Linked DNA regions of Rattus norvegicus. The protein of the gene in region 2 purifies or fractionates together with the protein of the main gene of each other region. This does not show direct contact. Links are inferred from orthologs where the notes say so. Each region holds a gene or a part of one and is shown on either strand. Other genes may lie near its edges. The genes, in order: Elmo1 and Dock1.

Evidence for each region.
Region 1: the proteins of Dock1 (region 2) and Elmo1 purify together in Homo sapiens (affinity purification with western blotting; 12 studies listed by BioGRID and IntAct, counting the BioPlex papers as one, with this or other methods). This does not show direct contact. The link is inferred for Rattus norvegicus from reciprocal best matches to the Homo sapiens genes DOCK1 and ELMO1.

The regions. Positions count from the first base shown.
Region 1 is NC_086035.1:49,311,939-49,315,758, forward strand, and holds part of Elmo1 (engulfment and cell motility protein 1), read right to left. Parts: intron 3,562-3,820; coding exon 3,410-3,561; intron 1,304-3,409; coding exon 1,225-1,303; intron 1-1,224. UniProt on the Homo sapiens protein: Involved in cytoskeletal rearrangements required for phagocytosis of apoptotic cells and cell motility. Acts in association with DOCK1 and CRK. Was initially proposed to be required in complex with DOCK1 to activate Rac Rho small GTPases.
Region 2 is NC_086019.1:198,973,286-198,977,105, reverse strand, and holds part of Dock1 (dedicator of cytokinesis protein 1), read right to left. Parts: intron 3,603-3,820; coding exon 3,445-3,602; intron 2,134-3,444; coding exon 2,052-2,133; intron 1,661-2,051; coding exon 1,525-1,660; intron 1-1,524. UniProt on the Homo sapiens protein: Involved in cytoskeletal rearrangements required for phagocytosis of apoptotic cells and cell motility. Along with DOCK1, mediates CRK/CRKL regulation of epithelial and endothelial cell spreading and migration on type IV collagen.

The DNA.
Region 1 (3,820 bases), on a different chromosome or scaffold from region 2:
GCACAAGGACTGCAAGGGTCCACCCAGGGACCCCAGTGAAGGAGTCTTTCAACCTTCTTCATCTTGAATTTGTTAACTAAAGGTTATTTTCAAATATAAAGCCATTAAGTATTTGTAAAGAACTTTGGAAAACATCTCAGCACATCTTCCACTAAAATAATAGCACAGGAAAAAATTTATATAGCCACTCAGCAGCTGTGCCTCCTCCCACAAAACCAAGGAGCACAGTCCCTTCATCCACGCAGCAAGAAAGGATTCCCACAGGGGTAGAAACAGCACAACCACTAATCCAAGAGGAGATACCAAAGCTTAGTCCTCCCAAATTCATTTCATGCATTTAAGTAAATAATAAAATCCTGACAAGCAGGACAACAAATTATTCAATAGTAGCAAAATTGATCCAATGTCCCAGACTTAATCATCAATCTTTAAAGGGGGTATTCTATAAAATTCAAGGTAAAAATAGTTAAGTAATATTCTAATCCAGTTGGACTGAGAAAGTGGGTCTTGTTTCCTCATGAATTTGGGCATTCTCTGCTTGTGGGGCATTTAATGGGATTCTTTGCAGTTAAAATCAAGTAGGAGGCTGGCCTACAGCTTTAGTTCTCACCGCTGTGTTGACCTGGTCAGGTTTTTTACTCCTTTGGAACAACTCTTTCCTCATTTGTAAAGTGAAAATAAAATGCCTTTCCTTTAATATGAAAATTGTGCTAATAAAATGCAAATATCAAATGTAGATAAGCTAAATGCTCTTTTACATCTAAGGTCAAATCCAGATAAAAGTATAAACCCTCTGCCGCTGATACAGTCTAGAAGCATCCAGGTAAACAGATGTGTGAATCACACTTTACAGGCCTGCAGTGAACATCCATAGACAGACCATTGTGAACTTGATCTTGATCTTCAGGGCTCACTCTCCTCAGATATTTTACATTTAAACAATGTAACAATCTATTCCGTGGTTATCAGAGTCAACATTAACTTTCCATAAGAAAGTGTGTATCTTGTTGCTAATTTATTTCTGAGACTGGGTTCCTCATAAAATAATCTGAATTTACAATGGATTCTGCTGTTAGATTGGTTTATTAAATGATTTCTTCATCTACTCTTTCCTCCTATGCCCCATCCAGTCTTCAAGGCATGGCTGTTCCATGGACTGAGCTCCCAGAGGAGAAGAGAGTTTCTAGCCCCATCCAGTCTTAGGACTAAAGACCTGAGACTTACCTGTCTCCTCTCATCAGGCGCTTTCAGGAAAAGTGCATTGATTACAGCAATGGTGTAAGTCTGGATTTCTTGGTCTGTCCTGTAAAGACCCAAAGAACACAGGAAATCAGAAGACACTAGTCCCGAGTCAGCCATGGCAAGGCTCAGCATCACACACAAATAAAGCAGGCCTTGCACAGAGGACAAGGGCAGGACCCAGAAAATACAGGCAGCACTTGTGACATAATAACATATTCCCAACATCCCTGGACTGGACAGGTAGACACACAATTGCTATTACACCAGTTGATCAAAAGAGCTCACCTGGTCAAAAGAGATCAGCTGGCATGAGGCCAGCTGGTTTACTCCCTCTTTGTCATCTGATTAAAAGCCAAGTACCCAGATACTGTGGGCTTGTACTCTCTGTCTCTCTCTGTCTCTGTCTCTGTCTCTGTCTCTCTCTCTCTCTCTCTCTCTCTCTCTCTCTCTCTCTCTGTGTGTGTGTGTGTGTGTGTGTGTGTGTGTGTGTGTGTGTGTGTGTGTGTGTGATTTTCTGTCCAATGCCTGGTCCATGTATGGGAGCAGTTGTAGATGTCTTAGCATTTCAGCATTCCTGGGCTTATCTAAAAGAAAACAGCTTTGTTCCCATAGCAACATTACATATTCTAAAATCTTGTTGGCAAACACAAGCACTGTAACAGTAGTAAATGTTGGAACTTCTTGTTCAAAATTTTGCTCTTCACTGGAAAGAGGGCAGAAATTCTGAGGTAAACAGTGAATAAGGGCTCAAGGCAGAAGCCAAGAGACTCAGAGCTACACTCAGGGAAGATACTGTTTCCTAGGGCTGCTCTATCTAGGGCAGAATTAGACATCACATCTCCATCCTTAGCACAAATCTTGGCAAACAACAGGCTTTTTTGTCAGTGAAGTGTACTATAAATGAACATGTGTGCCCCTGAGATTCAGAAATAGAAATCCAGACAGTGAAATCAACATTTCTCACACTAAGAGACAATGAAAACTCTGTCATTTTAAATGAAGCTACTATATACAAAATACATCCTACTAGAGATTGGGCTAAGTCCCTGAGGCCAAAGTCCACAGCTTCTCTGACTTTAGTTTTACATTCTGCTCACACCTTACCTCCAAATGAATTAAACATCTAATGTACTTTTGTAATTTAGACTACAAACATAAGCCAACATCTTCAGTATATTGAGAATTGTTGGCTTACCCCTTCTATTCCCACCGATCTATACTTCTAGGCATGGTTACACGCATCCTGAATGGTTCAATCAGGTTTACTATTAAGAATAAGCAAATGTAACCCAGAAGAGCAGAGTTGGGAGTCACCTTGATGCCAGTCAAACTGTTTTTGAAAACACATCTCCTTAAATCATTTCTAGACACTACAATGCATCCTCATATCCTTCCAACCAACTCACTTCTTATGTGAGCTAGCTCACAAAGTTTCTTCTACCAGCCAACGCCCACCAATATTTAAATATAACAAGCCACATAGCATATCAGAGTCCCTCTCAGTGTTATCAATTAGTTTACCAAAGAGTATAAAAATGGGGAACTTCTGCAAAGATTGCAGGGTTTGAGGGCAGTTGTTTAACCTCCACATCTTACTCAGGCTTTTAAGAAAATAATACACGTGTTTTACTCTTTCACCATTTTATCTATCAAGCCTGAAGTTTGGTGATGGAAGAAGCCTGCCTTTAAACATTGCTAGTTAAGGTGACCTAGTCTAAAACCACAAGCGCCCCACGTTCTCTCTCCATATATCGATCCTAGCTTCAAACATTAGGTTTCAGTATATAACCTGAAGTAACTAACTCCTTAAAATGCCAAAACAATTATGAAAATATTCACAGTGTCACAGAAAATATCATAGGTAATATTATAAAACACAGACCCTATTGAGAACCTAAGAGAAGAAAATATCCTATTGTGTCATGTAAAAAGTAAAACTCAACCAATGTCTACCAAAAGTCACCAAAGCTGACTGTATCCTGTAGTCTAGGCTCTGGGGAGAGACATATGGTTCCTCGGGGATGTATCATGATCAATAAGGTAGTATCTAGTTTGCTCCCAAGTGAAGCTCTTTTGAGCATGTAACTTAACCAGTTCCCAATGTTTCCCAGTCCATCATAATGACTGTTTCCCAGAAACAAGGCACAAGAGTGCCTAGCATGCTTACCCCTGAAGATGAGGAATGAGTTGGCCAATGGTGATCTCCTGAGCTACCTTTTGGTAGAGGTCATGGCTATTGAGAACCATTGACTCCAAAATGGCCAAGGACCGCTGCAGGATTGAGATGTCTATGGCAGACTTGTTCACAAAGCTTGCTATCTGAAAACACAATTAGGTCACAAATGACTACTCATGATTGGATGGTAAGCCAAACAAAGAAGGAAAGAAGGGATCCAATAAAGCAAACTGGGAGCCCAATGCACAGTAATACAGTCAGAACAAAACATACTGCAGAAGAACAAGAAATGCATGGAGTCAATACTGTTCATGAATTGTCACAAAATACAGTTACCCATCTTAGGAATCTGTAATAACTGACTGCCTCTTTAAGAGACATCTTTAAAGGACCATCTTGCCT
Region 2 (3,820 bases):
GCCTGAGGATCCAGCTATACCTCTCTTGGGCATATACCCAAAAGATGCCCCAACATATAAAAAAGACACGTGCTCCACTATGTTCATCGCAGCCTTATTTATAATAGCCAGAAGTTGGAAAGAACCCAGATGCCCTTCAACAGAGGAATGGATACAGAAAATGTGGTACATCTACACAATGGAATATTACTCAGCTATCAAAAACAATGACTTTATGAAATTCGTAGGCAAATGGTTGGAACTGGAAAATATCATCCTGAGTGAGGTAACCCAATCACAGAAAAACACACATGGCATGCACTCATTGATAAGTGGCTATTAGCCCAAATGCTTGAATTACCCTAGATGCCTAAAACAAATGAAACTCAAGACGGATGTTCAAAATGTGAAGGCTTCACTCCTTCTCTAAAAGGGGAACAAGAATACCCTTGGCAGGGAATAGAGAGGCAAAGATCAAAACAGACACAGAAGGAACACCCATTCAGAGCCTGCCCCACATGTGGCCCATACATATATAGCCACCCAATTAGACAAGATGGATGAAGCAAAGAAGTGCAGACCGACAGGAGCCGGATGTAGATCGCTCCTGAGAGACACAGCCAGAATACAGCAAATACAGAGGCGAATGCCAGCAGCAAACCACTGAACTGAGAAGAGGACCCCCGTTGAAGGAATCAGAGAAAGAACTGGAAGAGCTTGAAGGGGCTCAAGACCCCATATGTACAACAATGTCAAGCAACCAGAGCTTCCAGGGACTAAGCCACTACCTAAAGACTATACATGGACTGACCCTGGGCTCCAACCTCATAGGTAGCAATGAATATCCTAGTAAGAGCACCAGTGGAAGGGGAAGCCCTGGGTCCTGCCAAGACTGAACCCCCAGTGAACTAGATTGTTGGGGGGAGGGCGGCAATGGGGGGAGGATGGGAAGGGGAACACCCATAAGGGAGGGGAGGGGGGGTTAGGGGGCTGTTTGCCCGGAAACCGGGAAAGGGAATAACACTCTAAATGTATATTAGAAATACTCAAGTTAATAAAAAAAAAAAGAAAGAAAAAAAGAAAGAGAACTGCTTCTCAACATTATGAAGGAAGTGACTGACATTCAAAGATATCACCTAGTGGGGACACTTACTGTTCCTTGACACAGATAACTAGGCTCTCACTTTCTTGTACAGCCATCAACAAGCCTGTGTGCAAGCTGTATTGTACCTCCTTTAGCTCCTCGTCTTAGGCTGTGCCTGTCCAGCACTCAAGCACTGAGCCTAGCAAACCCCGGAGTGCTGGCTTCTCCACAATGTGGGAAAGTGATTCAGTGCCTCTCCCAGTAAAAACTGGGATCTGCTTTCAAACTGGATAAATCAGAAGCATCAGAGAAGCAGCAGGTAGGCTCCAAACTATGAAAAACAACTCATAGATTGCCCCCCTCCCCCAAGCAGCTAAGTCCAAAAATTAAAGTGGCCCACTGTCCTTCCTCAAAGTGAATGGTCTGAAATTCTCAAAGCAAAACAGGGGTGGAATTTTTACCAGCCACGCCAAAAGGTCGCCGGAGCCCCGAAGTCAGTTTCCTCGTGTTGCTGTCCCTCAGCTCCATACGACCAACTCGGACAATCTGGCAGACGAAACTAATTTTCTCCCTTTTCAGGTCTTTGCTCCCCAGATCCTAGAAATATTAATTTCCATAAATCATCATGGAGAACTATGATTCAACACGAGTCCAATAGAAAAGGACGTTAAAATGGACCGAGAGTCTGTTCTCAGACCAGATAAGAGTATTTTAAAATTACTCACATGACAGGAAGGAATAAACTAACAGCAGACACTGAACTGGACATGAGCTAAAGAGATGGGAAGGAATTTATCTCCTAACAATACTAAGCAAAGACCAAGCTCCGAGACTTCCACAAAGAGCTCAGGGATTCCTGGGTTAGCCAGTGTCACAAGTGGCACCACCCCCACCCCATAGGCCCCATTCAATGCTGAGAAGTTCCCAAAACAGCCATAATAGCAGGACTCAATGACATTCAACGTGCACAGCCATGGCTGGTACTCACCGTAAACACCGCACGCAAGTTATGTAACCTATCAATGTCTTTTGGTAATCCTGAACTTGACCAGCGGACCAGGTAGTTCTCACTTGAGGAAAGAAAAAAACAGGACCAAATTAATCTTCCAAACATGTACGAGCAGCCAATGTATTCCATAAGACTAAATAATTAACAACATGGAGATTCACTATGCATCTGACTGTGAGTTGATAAGTATCTGGGCCGCAGGTAGCCTCTTTACCTACCGAGCAGGCACTGTGAACAACCTTTTCACTTTCTACACCATGGATTAACCGTTAACAGAAGTATTTTCAAATGACATTTCAATGTTTATAACGTGAAAAACCTCTCTGTCTGTTTAGAATGACAACAATACAGCGCTGTGTATTGAATTTGGAACAATGTATATTTAATTCGGAGCCCTCAATAAAGGCAAGCAAGCCGTAAAATATAAATTGTATCTCCATCAAAAAGAAAGAAAGCACTTATCAGAAGTGAGAGTAAAAATCACCTATATGTTCTGTTTCCTGAAAATAGTACATTTTTAAATTTTGATAAATACAGGAGTGTTGATATATAGATATACACACACTTCACAAAGTTTAATCACAATTATTTTTAATCAGGATAAAGAGAAAGTTATATTGAAGACCAATGTATTTCCAATGGTTTTATTCAATAGATGTTTATTATGACTCTTCATATGACAAGAGGAAATACTTGACATACACAACTAGCCAATCAGCTTAGAGAGGCAGCAAAGAGGCGAAAGCCACAGATAACACTCCTAAACCAAACTTTGCCAAAAGTAAAGGTGTGGCTTGTGGGCTGAGTTTCTTTGCTTTCTACGGCTTTGATGAATATCATGACCAGAAGCCATGAGGAACAAAGTGTTCATCTCACCATTCAACCTACACAGTCCTCCCTAAAGAGAAATCTGGGCAGGAACTCAAAGCAAGAACTCGGAGGCAGCCACTGAAGCAGAGGCCGTGGAGGAACACTGCTTACTGGTTTGCTCACCTGGCCCTGCCCAGTTCGGTTTTCTTTATAACCCAGGACCACCTTCCCACAGTAGGCTGGACCCTCCCATAGCAGTCATTAATCAGGAAAATGCCCCCACAGACTTGCCTATAATAGGACAGATAGAGGGATGTTTCTCAATTAAAGATCCCTCTTCCCAGATGATTGCAGCTTGTTTCAAGTTGACAAAAAAAACTAACCAGCACATTTACTTCAGCTGAGAGCAGCTCCCACTAGTAGGACTTCACCATGCTGGACCTCATCTTCAGTCTGTGGTTCAAAATAAAACCCTCCCTGGTGGAGATGCTTCTTGTCAGGTATTTTGATCACAGCAGTGAGAAAAGCAACTGATGAAGTCTTCAATGGGGAAGTTGCCTACCTGATGAATTTGGACTCCACAGGGTCATAAAGAGACATGAGGACTTCGGCATCTTCTCCTATTTTACAAACCACATTTTTGAGGTTAACAAACAAGGCCAGAGATGGGGTGGCTGCGAACTTGGCTTGTCTGTTGATATCCATATTCTGTTTTTGAGACTGAACAGAAAGGCAGAAAGTCAATGGGATGAATCTTGACTATAACCAAGGCTCTTTCTAATCCCCTGTAGAATAGGGAAAAGGTACTACCAACTGCCACCTCCCAGCCATGATGCTCATGCAATCACTCTGTCACCACTGCATGCTCTCAAACAACACAGCACCTATCCAGCTGCAGCCAATAATTAGTGTTTGCTAGAGCATGGGCTGTCCAAGCG